2 linked regions of the Caenorhabditis elegans genome follow. The protein of the gene in region 1 purifies or fractionates together with the protein of each later gene. This does not show direct contact. Each region holds a gene or a part of one and is shown on either strand. Other genes may lie near its edges.

What was found.
Region 2: the proteins of rme-1 (region 1) and chtb-1 purify together in Caenorhabditis elegans (affinity purification with western blotting, with the first as the bait; one study listed by BioGRID). This does not show direct contact.

Annotation. Positions count from the first base shown.
Region 1 is NC_003283.11:6,207,540-6,213,592, forward strand, and holds the start of rme-1 (Dynamin-type G domain-containing protein), read left to right. Parts: upstream 1-2,628; 5' UTR 2,629-2,736; coding exon 2,737-2,931; intron 2,932-3,147; coding exon 3,148-3,613; intron 3,614-4,382; coding exon of another isoform or gene 4,383-4,398; intron 4,399-6,053. Other genes in the region: W06H8.2 (NADH:flavin oxidoreductase/NADH oxidase N-terminal domain-containing protein), read left to right, coding at 1-297, 513-941.
Region 2 is NC_003281.10:9,351,798-9,357,850, forward strand, and holds the start of chtb-1 (Chitin binding domain (ChtBD2) containing chtb-1), read right to left. Parts: upstream 3,549-6,053; coding exon 3,515-3,548; intron 3,171-3,514; coding exon 3,053-3,170; intron 3,006-3,052; coding exon 2,866-3,005; intron 2,603-2,865; exon of another isoform or gene 2,423-2,602; intron 1,975-2,422; coding exon 1,872-1,974; intron 1,828-1,871; coding exon 1,730-1,827; intron 1,678-1,729; coding exon 1,579-1,677; intron 1,529-1,578; coding exon 1,091-1,528; intron 925-1,090; coding exon 278-924; intron 232-277; coding exon 12-231; intron 1-11.

The sequences.
Region 1 (6,053 bases):
GATCATTATGGTGGCTCAGTTTCAAATAGACAACGAATTGTTCTGGAAATATTTGATGCAATTAGAAAAGAAATTCCAGCTTCTACAGGTTTTTTGATTGGGTTGAAGACCAATTCAGTTGAATTTCAATCAGAGGGAACAACTGTGGATGATGCTATTGAAATGTGCAGGGCTTATGAAAATATTGGATTTGACTTTGTTGAATTGTCCGGTGGAACTTATGAACAACTGGCATTCCAGCATCTCAAAGAATCTACAAAACGAAGAGAGGCATTCTTCCTGGAATTCGCTGAAAAGGTAAGGACATCAGCATTGAAAGTAGATAGTCCCACTGAACCTTTTGAACAATTTCTGATAATATTTTAGTATTTTTCTGAGAGTTTTAAATTTAACTAATTGTAAGTTTTAATTGTTTTTAATTGGACATTATAGGGGCATACATATACTCTACCCCTAAATAACTTCTTTCTCGGTTCCGTGCGGTACTAATTTTTATCATGTTTTTTTTTCAGATTCGCCCAGTTTTCAAAAACACAGTTGTCTACTTGACTGGAGGTTTCCGTACAGTTAACGCAATGGTTGAAGCTATCAAATCCGGAGCCACACAAGGAATTGGTTTGGGTAGACCGATTACTGCGGAGCCAGATCTCCCAAAGAAAATTCTGCAAAAGTTGGCCCCTTCAGCTGTCTTCGATGCAATTGATCAAAGTGAATTTGTCCTCTCACTTCTTGCGAGCAACACTCAAATTGAACAAATGGGACGGAACTCGCTGAAAGAAGCAAACAATGATGTCACTTACGGACTCAGTGACTTCAGTGATGAAGATACTGTGAAAAGATTTGGAAAAGCAGTTGAAGAATTCGCCGAACTTTTGAAAATTCAAGCATCTCGAGGTGTCGCAATTCCAAATGTGATCACATTCGAAGGAGTGAAAGCATAAATTATGCATGTTTTTAATCTGTTTTTTTCAAAATAAATTTGTAGCGAGATACATAAATGTAAATAAATTATTGTTGATTTACTTGTTTCATACATCCATCATTTTTCATAAATCTGTCGAAGTTTCAGGTTAGGATTTATTTTCTTGTGTAAGGTGGGGAAATAATCTGGAATTCTTTTAGAAGAAACTGTCAAAAAAACCGTAAACTCGAAATTATTTGATTGAATCATAGAGCCATTCTACGGGAATATTGAATGAAACACAATTGATCAATGCATTGAAAAAATCCAATATTACGTCAATAGGATTTACATAAACAGCGTACAATTGACACTATCATCTACTGAAAAAACGAAGTTAAAACCTTCAAAAGTTTCCATTCACGACTGTCATTATTGTATAAAATGTATAATTTTTTCCGTACTGTTCCACGAGCTAATCGAAATGAAATTACGTTCTATCCAGATTATGAAGGTGAGAAATGACGTAGCTGTGCAAAATTTTTGAAGCTCTAATTTTGTTTGAAAATAATTGAAAGAGTTTTGATAATAGAGTTTTTTCTGAATTTTAACACCTACGCAACTATGATTTTGTCCATAATATTGGGAAAAATGTATACGAAATATGGGAATCCGCATCGATTTTTGTTTTGTTCGTTTGTGTGCCGCTTTTCGGAAGGCAGCCACATTTATGTTCAAACATTGACCGTTTTGTCGACGGGGATATCAAAATTGTTGGATTTCTTATAGTTTGTAGCAATATTTTATTTATTTTTAACAATATTTTGGTTAATTGTTTTTGTATTAATTTTATAATGATTAAGTTTTGGATTGATTCTTCTTGGTTTATCAGAAAGAAAGAAAACATCGTATGTTTGCGCATCCACTCAATTCAATGTTCGCTCACAAATGTGCCCATTTCTGTGCATTTGAAACGAATATTTTTGAACTACATATATAATTACTCGTAGAGCTCATTAAAGTTTTCAAGTGTACCACTTTTGGATATAATTCTTTGGGTGATAAAATTCACCTCGAACATTCAACCTTGGCACAAAAAATTCCTGAATTCACCTGATTTAATTAATTCATATCATTTTTTGTGATTTTTTATTAGGCCACGTTGCACAACTTTTTATGTGTATTGCTTAAGCACAACAAAAAATTTACACATCGTTTTATAATCAACTTTTAAAAATGTTGTTTTTCAGCTTTACATTCTAATCTTTGGTCATCTAAATTAACATTTTTCATTCAATGTGAATCATAATCTCTATTGAATCTCTCTTCTCACACTTGTTACATCCTATTTCATCAGAAAATCAGCTCTTTTCAAATTGAATATTCTCCCGCTTACCTTTAAATGATCTATTAATTTTTGACTCCACTCAAAACCTATGGGATGTCAACTTTGTCGACCAACAGTAACAGACGAAGATATCGATAAAACTCTGGTTATATTCCGTAAGAAAAGCACCAATCCCTTTGAAAAAACTTCTGAGAGATTCTCTTCAACAAACCCATTCGGAGGTGAAATTGGTGAGTCATTTCCTATTTTTAATTCTATTTGTATTTCATCATGTTCTGGAATGTTTCCTCCTGTTATCATTGTTCTCCTTATGCTTTTTTTTCTTTGCAAAGTGAATTGTCGCGAAATAAAAATTGATAACAAAAAAAGTGTGCGAAACTTGTCTCCGCCTCGCTTCTCTTCTTGACAGTTTTTTGCCTCGAAACTTGGAACATTTCATCGACTTTTTACTGGATCATTTCCTATTCCTCTTACAACAAAAGTATCGATGGAGTCTGTGAATAGTGAAGAACACAAAATAAACGAGGCACCCGCGCCACCCGTCATTGTCATTAATAGCTCCACGAAAGAAGAGCAGGAGGCAACACAAACCGACAGAATAGAAGGGCAAATGAAGAAAATCGATTCGGTCTTTGATGAGCAGAATGTAGCGTCATTGGAAGGTGTCAATTCAAAAAATGAGGTGGGTATTTCGTTTTACTTTTGATTAATTTATTTTTGGTATACACAAATTTTCATAATGTTTACATTTTCTCTCCAACCCTGTCACATTTGGTTTTAATTTTGCGTTTTTGCAAAAGGTCGGCTTCCACCAAAATGAAGCAGTAGCAAGAAATTTGTACTGTGCACTTTTAGGATTTTTTTTTCACCACTTTAAATAAATTGTAACGATTTTCAGATTTCCGGATCGGTATCAAGTTCCAGTTTTGAGGAGCTGAACGCAGAGACTGAAGATTTATCAGAAAGAAGTGAAGTCGAAAAAGACGAAGATCTAGGGAGAGTTGTTGAAGAACATAAAGAACCGGCACAAGTTCCAGTAGAATCGGAAACTCCGGAAACTTCTAAAAAAGAAATCCACCAAGAAGAAGAAATCTCTGAACTTGAGAAAGTTCCTGAAACAGTTGAAGAAGAAATTGAAGTCGTCAATACTTCCGTAGAAATTACTGAAGTAAAGAAGGAAGTGATCGAAGAAGTTAAGATCTCAGGCCTCAAAGAAGAAGAAACTCCGGTTCCAAAAATGAGAGCTCAGCAGCAAGTTCCAGTTGCTGCTGACAGGCCAATCAGGCGGCTTTCGATTGCAAGGGCATCTATGATGACCCCAAAAGCATCACCTAAACTTGCAAAGTATATGGAGCCGGTTAGAGGTAGATTTGTAGATTTTTGTTCATATAATGTTTTATGCGTCTACTTTTCTGCACTTTTTTAAACAACTAGTTGGAGTAATGTGGCTATCAAATTTAGTATTTTTCCTGCCAAATCCCAATGTCGATCTGCGATCGCAGTTCGAAAGTTTAAAACAACCTTTCCCTATTAGTATTGCACCCCACTATTTGACTTTGACAGATTATATAGGCAGAGGTTTTTTTCTGAATCTGAAGATGACAGTGCATATCAAAAAACCATTGCATCACTTTTCTTTGTTTTCATTCTGGAAAACGAAAGAACGCTTTTCAAAAGCATTTCCCAATGCCATTCCTTTTCTATTTGGAGTTTCTATCCTGCAGACACTTGCTATTCTTCCCACACAGTTCGATTTTCCATTGATTGAAAAAATTCCTGACAAATGGAACTTCAAACCTTTTTGCTTAAAGAGCTGCACTTTGCATTATTCTTTATCATTGTGAGCATCATTCGTTGACAGGTCACACTGATAAACATTTGGTCAGTGCCAATCAACGCATTTTCATACTCTCGCTATACAACTTTTCTTTCACATCCTCCCAGTACTGGAACACCATGTGCTCTGCTAACTTGTAAATAATTGTGTGCAAACTGTTTTATGTTTGCTCCGTTGAGAGGCAAAAGAGACAAGACCGCCCGTCATAGCGCGAGAACAAAACTTTTATAAGTATTACAAGAATTTTGACGTGACCAACTGATCGGTATCTGTTCTATTTTTTCGGGCATTTCGAAATGAGTAATCTTTTTGGTAAGTATGAACAGAAAATGATCATTTTTAGAAACTCTAACACCTAAATGGATAGCGTCCGAGTTTTTTGGAAAAGTTATAAAATTGATGATCAAGGTAAGGTTTTTAGGTTGTGAAACGGCAGACTTTTCAATCGCGTTATATTTTGATAATCTAGTTATGGCTTTCAAATCCAGAAGTTTCTGATAAAAGAACGAGAAAATCAAAAATTATTTTTAGCTCTACCTTCAAGTTTATATTTTTTGTATTTGACATTATATGATTTTCAATTTCACCTCAATTTCACGAGATATTAATCAAACGCTTGAAAGCTTGAATTTCTTGAAAATTTTCTTGTAAATCATCTCATATTCTCGTTCAAAAGGCAAACGAAACATGGTTTCCAGGTTCTATATGGTGTATTTTTTTCAAACATTTCAAGCTTTCTAGCTCCAACGTTCTATTTATATTTTGAAATTTTGATAAATTCTCCATTTTTTGAAAAATTCACACGGTCTAACGAGCTAATCATCATGCCGCAATCATCGCATCTTTCTTTTTCTTTTCTTCTTTTTTCTCTTCTTTTCGTTTCTTCCATCCCCCTACTCGAACAATTCAATGAAATAACAAATCGGTTACTTTATTTTGATTCAATTCTTTCCTCCTTCTACCAAATCGTCTCAAACATCGTCCGCTTGCGGTTGTCTCATTTTTCTTGATGCATGACCCCTGTGGAATCGATAGTGCACAAGCAGTTGCTAGAGTTCAGTGCTCCGTTGAAAGAGAAAGCGAGAGCATTCACGTTATATAAACTCAAACTAAACTTTTCTCTTCCGGCCTGCTTTCAATTTTATTTCTTCCAAAGAATTTTTGAGTTGGGTCTCTTGATTGATAGTGGTTTAGTTTTTGATTTTGACTACTGTATACCTATAGGTAATGCATTTGAAGTTTGTTATTTCCGGGTGATTTTCTTTAAAGTTTTTGACTTATTGTTAGATAGTTTTTCGGAATTTCAGTTACGATTCACACTCCAAACATGAAAAGTTGAATTAGTTCAACACAACTTTTACCTTTTCAATTTTCTATCTAGTGGAACAGGACACCGATTATACAGAAAATATTGTAGTTAGAGCAATTGAATTGTTATTGTGTTGAAATTGTATTATGTTATTTCTCAAGCAACCTCGTGATTTTACAACAAAATATTTTTATGTCGATTTCTAGTTGGAACGCAGAATACTACTATACGTCATTCTATTGATTGCATATTTTAATTATATTTAGTTACTAATTTCAATTTAATTTGACTAAATCTAACACAATTTGTCCTACTTATTCATCAGTTCCATGAAATTCCAAGCAAATATTGTGGTTTCATATTTACACTGCGACCATTTGATATATGCGCTGGTTTTCCAACAAAAACCATTCACAGCAAGCAATTCCGACAATGCTTTTTTTGTGTGTGTTCTCTTTTTTTCCCCATAAGATCTTTGCAGTTCGGCCGGTGGGTGATGGTGGTCAGTTCGCGTATTATTTTGACTTTTTCGTCTGCGGTCTACTTGGTCCTTAGACTCTCTTGTCTGGCTTTTGCGCAGTCTGTCGGTCGATCTATTTTCTCGATTCGACTACCTGATCCATTTCTAATTTTTCCTCTTTTTCTGTGATTCTTGATT
Region 2 (6,053 bases), on another chromosome or scaffold:
ATGTTTCTTACCAGGACTATAACAGCATGCAAAATGTTCCTTATTGAGTAAAGTACATTTGTGAGATGATGATGGGCAGTGATCATGATTACTAGCAGACTGACATGAAGTTTCAGGAACCGTCCCGTCTGGGCAATGAATGTTCAGTTTGCAGCATTTGCCCGACAGTGAGCAAGTGAAATCGGGAGGGCACAGAGTATGTAAATCACATCTTTGCGTGGATAAACATTTCTAAAAAATAACATTGAATATTTTACCACCTCGAGTAGAAACTTACATTTTTGTTAATCGATACACCACTGGTTTTGTCAACTTTCTTCCAAACTTTTGTTGCTGTTGAGATTATTTCTTCTTTTATAATTACAGGCGTGGTTTCTCCGACACTATCGGAAGTGGAATCCGCAGATTCTGAGAGGAACGGACAACATTTCCCATATTCACATCTAGAAGCAATTGGACAATCATCTGATAGAGAACAATGAACTGGAATCGAAAGAGCCATCAATCCATTTCCACATCGTGCCTTTGGTGGTTGCTTACAGCATATTCCATCTACACATTCTGACATCTCTGGGCATATAATATCGATATCACATTTTTTAACTCTGGTATCCACTTCACAGTCTCCAATTATCAGTTTTTCTGTCTCTTTGGTGTGCTCGTTGTCTTTGCTCATTGTCAAAACTTGTGATTTTATCACAGCTAATTCGATAGTTTTTGGGCAGCATCCTCCAAAAAAGCAATGTTCATTTGCTCTACAGTGATATTGAGTTTTACATGTGAATTTGACGGCTGTTAGACTTCTCGGACATACAGCCAATTTACAACAACCTTGATAACATTTGAAGGTTGTTGGACAATCTTCATCAGAAGTACAATTCGCATTTGTTCCTCCACATGTTGCAGATGATGATGATGCTCCGCCTATAAAAGTACAGTTGATGAAATGAGGTGGTTAGCTAATGCGCGTGCTTCTCATTAGGCTCCTATTTACTTTGTAAACAGTGGTGGAAACGGAGAGCGCTCTTTCCGAAATACTTTAAAGTGACCACAAACAGATGAGAAAAGGAAGGAAGAAAAGTGAACGCACCTAATGAATTGACCTCGTCCGTGTTACTACTCAAACATCGAAGTTTTGGAGGTTCAGTGGTTCTTGTCGGAGTTGGTGTGATTCCTGGAGCCATAATTTCATCTAGTCGCTGCGGTTTTTGAGTTGGGAGTGATTCGATTGCAGCACTATCAAAAATATCATTATCCACTTCAAATATTGTATTTGTTGCCTCTACAGTTGCATATCGATATACTTTTGGATGTCGTAGTAGTTTTCTTTCTTCACAGCAGTTATTCTGGCATGTCATTCCTTTTGGACACGATTCATCGATTGTGCAGACCGTCGAACATCCAATTGATGATTGCAATGCAGTTGAAGGGCAACACACTTTTTGTGCGGTACAAAAATGTCCCTTGGGACAAGAGTACGGATCCCGAGTACATGTATTATTAGGAGGAGAACCATCAGAACACAAATCTAATGGAAAGTTAGAGATCATAGGCGGGAAAAGTGTGATTAGAACCTACTTGAAGTTGTTAAAGGGATACAGTTACCATTGCGGCAAGCTGATCCCAGTGGGCATTTCGAGCAGGGATTTTCAGTGTTAGATGGGGAAGATGTTGATGCTGTTTAAGCAATTAGTGAAATAATATGTGGTTAATCATAAAAACAACTTACGGGAGAGAGAGCTCATTCTCTTTGGAACGATACAAGTTTGTTGCTCAAAGTTGAACAAGAAGTTCTCTTGGCACGACTTGCGGACCCATCGGAGAGTGCTGGAATTGAACATTTTGTTTTTTATTATGCAACGGTTTCCTACGTTTGGTCACATTGAAGGTAGGAAGATGGGAAGTCGTTATGAGCCTGAAGACAGGTGGCTGAAACGGCACAGACCTCGCTCTCGCGGGCTCCATTGTCTTGTTCTGAAAATATTTTATTGATCGATTTAGAATAATAAGATGAAATTTCAGTTTTAAACCAAATCCCCGATCTCATTAAGTTATCCCTTCTGTCTTTTCTCGCTGGGGTTCTTAAAAACAAAACACTTTTCCTCGGTAGGTCGCGGCGGCGACTGGTGAGCTCTGCGAGCTGCGTATCCCTTCCTCCAACACTCTCTTATCAACCTTCTGACCTATTTGTTGAACCCCCTCTTGGTCACGCGCCGGCGACTCTCAACGCACTGTGCGCAAGTGAGTGGTGGACAAAAGCCGGCGGAGCAAGCAGGAATTGCAAGACACCGCAAGTTGCGTTTTTTTCTTCATTCCCATCAAGAGGATTTAGGTCATTTGCGTTCATTAGAGTGGTCAAATAATGGAATTGTGAAACAAAGGATCCCAGACAAAAGTGGCGCATTTTCCTCGAATTTCCTCGAAAAGATGATGAAATTTGGTCACAAGAAATGTAGTGAATCTAGTTTTGGAATTCGTTGGCAAAATATCTACACACTATTTGTGATGTTTGTGTGTTTGTATGTGTGTGTTTTATTTTTTGGAATGAATTGAATTGAGTGAGAGGAAAAGGAAAAGAATTAAATGTAAACACACAAATACACAAGAAACACTGTCAGAAGCATAAGCAAATATGGCTTGGAGATGTCGGACTTCCACTTTTTTCTACTTTTCTTTCTTCTACAATTTCCTAGATACCTTATCGCTCGTAACAGTTCATTTCAACTTATTGTTGACCACTGTGGTTGATGTTTATTTGCGGTCAGAAGTGGGCTCGCTCATTAGTTGACTTAAGAGCTTCCACCGATTTAAAATAGAGGAATAAATGTTGGTGATGAAGAAGAATAAGAAGTCTAAGAAACTCACCACAAATGTTCGGGGAAGCTGGTTTACGAGCTTTTGGATGTTGTTGTGGCTGTGTATTTTCAGCTGGAACAGATGGTACTGATGAAGGAGCGGCGGCGGCTCTCGACTTCACAACCCAGACACCTTCACCTTCGGCACTACTAAAAGAATGAAAGATTTTCAGTTGTTTTGGTTGAATGAAACTCACTCAGCTGTCGTCTCGCACTTGAGGAAAAACTGTGTCTGTTTTCCTCCAATTTGAACATCAGCAGTTCCAAGTTTACACGTTCCGCCAATTACAGGCGTCTGTCCATGTCCAGAAGCGACTGTAAATTAAAATTGGTTTGAGAAATGATAAGAAAAATGAATGGGAAATTATTATTATTTAAATTCTCAAAATACAGTGATATTTCAGGCCTAGATTTTCAGACAAATTCTTGCAATCTAGTAGTTGAATAGTAAACTATAAGATGGAATAAGTTTGATAAGTTTTATGTATAAACCCATTTAAATTCAAGATCAAATTTAGACTATTCAGAAACTTTTTTGCCTCTGAAAATATATGGAAAAATATAGATTTTCAAGAGAGAGTATTTAATTTTAGAGCTAACATTTTTCAAAAATAAACAGAATCTAGAATGTATTATATAAAATTTGAAAGAAAGCTTACCGAGGAGGGTGATTAAAATGAGATTGCGCAGCATTATGTGTATACTGCTTTGTGATTATATGATAAATGGAAGAAGGTGGTCGATTCAGATGGAAAACAAAGCTGCTATCTTCTTCTTCTTCTTTTGGTGGACTCGACAACAATTGCCACGCTGGAAAATTTGAACACTGATAAAGTGATAAAAGGCTGTGATGGGGTGGGAGATAAGGGGAGGAGACAACGGAGCAACAAGAAGACGGAATTTGAAAATAATGGTATTGTGGGTGGGGGTTAAGATGTGAAATGTGTCTTCTCTCCGATGGTGAGGTAGAGAACGAATGAAGCAGGTAGGGTGAGAGCTAGAGGATAGGAAGCTTCCGAGGGGTTGGGGAGGTTTGTATGCGAAACGCGCCGCCCTCTCCGTCTTCTTCGTTTCTATCTTTCGTCTCTTCTCCTCTCCGCGTATACTGTACCGGTGCGGAGATTCGCACACGACGCTTGAGAAGGTGGCGAAGACGGAGAGAGGTCAGTACTCTTTCTCTGTCTCTTTCTACATCAAGTCGGCCGAAAATAGAAGCTCGGCGCTTATGAGCACGAGAATAGAAGGCGCGCGCGAGGTCGCGGTCTCTCTTGCGAAAAAGTACTATTGTTTCCTTTTTTAGGGTTATTTGGGGGAGCAACACTAAGGCGTCTCAGATGAGGTAAAACCGCCGCCAGGAAACACTGGATCAAGTTTTTTGGGGGTTGAGCAACTTCTTGGCAAGAAAAGAGTCGACGAGTTCAACTTGACCAGCGCGGACGAATTCCGGGCACGGATGAAAGAGGACAAATAATCGGAAGTGATGATGAGGGTGGCGTAATTTTATAGTTGATTTCACAAGAATTTTATGATTATGATGGAAGTGATTGACCTACAGTAGTCTTACAGTACAGTACAGTAGTCTACAGTAGTCTTGACATCTGTTCTTGAAAACATATAGTTTTGAAGACTTAAAACATCCACCATCCATGTATCGAATAATATGTAGCTAATGTTTCAAAATGATATGATGTTTTCCGGAACTACTGCATATTTCCATAACATTGAAGGACGCGCGATGCACACATTTCCAACAAAAATCGAGCACCAAGCGCCCACCGCGACTCGTATACTGTTGCAAAGTGCACATTCGGTTTCGATTCGACCGAGTCATTGTAATTTAACTGTTCTGCCACTTGTAGTCATTGCCACTTTTAAGTGAAATTGAGACCCTCCAAATCCAAATTCCCGGACATAAAAAACAACGCGCATTTTTGTAAGATCTCGTGTAATTCAAAACTCCATTATTCTAAGTGCGCAATGCACGCAATTAGTGAGACACCTCTAGTCAAATACGATGCGATGTTGGTCAGGCAATTTGAACTGGACAGGGCAGCTAATATATTATGGACTGTGAAAATTTATTCTCAGTTTTTTTTAATTTCAAGCCTTTTAATTTGAATCTATTACTGCTTCACAACGATTTTTGTTTTTGGATTATCCGTTGGCAGCGCATTCCGATTTTGAAATTTCCGTGCTATTGATGAAGCCAAAAATTTAAGCCGCTTTTGATAAGTAACTGTAAAAATTCAATTGAGTTAATGCAAATTCGGTAACTTATGTTTTAGCGTTTTTCGCTCAACTGATAATAAGATAATGTTGTTTTTAAAACTTCCAGCGTACATTAAAAAGAAATGGAAAATAATTTCCATGCATATCATTGCTAATTTCTTTACCGGTCTCTTTTTGCAAAAGTACAAGACCATTTAATTTCTCGATGGCATCCAGTTCGTTCCTTGCGTAACTGGCCATATTCATATGTAATTGAATGAAATCTCACTTTTCATTCAAAACCATCTTCCGAATCCGGAGAGACTTGTCTTCTTTTTTGTTCTTTTTTCGCACCTAGAAAAGACACGGAAGCAAAAAAAAACATCATGGCGTAGACAAGCTGTCAAGCGCATCTTTTTGCAACACTATATCACGAAAGAGATTGCTCGTGCCACTGTTTGTTGTCCTCGCGGAGTCTCTACGACAAAACTTGTCATTTTTTATCAGATTTTGGTGCTGCTGGTGGTGGGAGAGAAATAGTGTTGAGGAATTTGGGTTTGTGTTCGTAGGAAAAAGATCACAAGGGCGGCGGCGGGTTGTGTCTCCTTCATCTCACGACAAGACGGGACCCCGAATTTGACAAAAAAAACCGCGGCGGATACCAGGCTCGGCCAGGCGGTCGAGTGATAAGTATGTTCATGTTATGTTTACAAAGTGGTATTTCCCTAAAACATGTTACTTTGAAATCAAAAGATAATATCTACATAATATCAATTTCCGATTTTTCTGAACAAACCTTGAAACTTTATGATTAGAAACTTATAGAGACTTATAGACAACAGAGATTTTATCGGTTGACAACTTTTATTCAAAGTAAAAGCCGACCAAGATATTAAACTTATGTTCCAGCTTCAAAGTGCGTTGCTAGAAACTATGTTAACGCAGGCACCAAAACAATAGCCGCGCCTGCCTGAAACCGCGAGCCTCCTG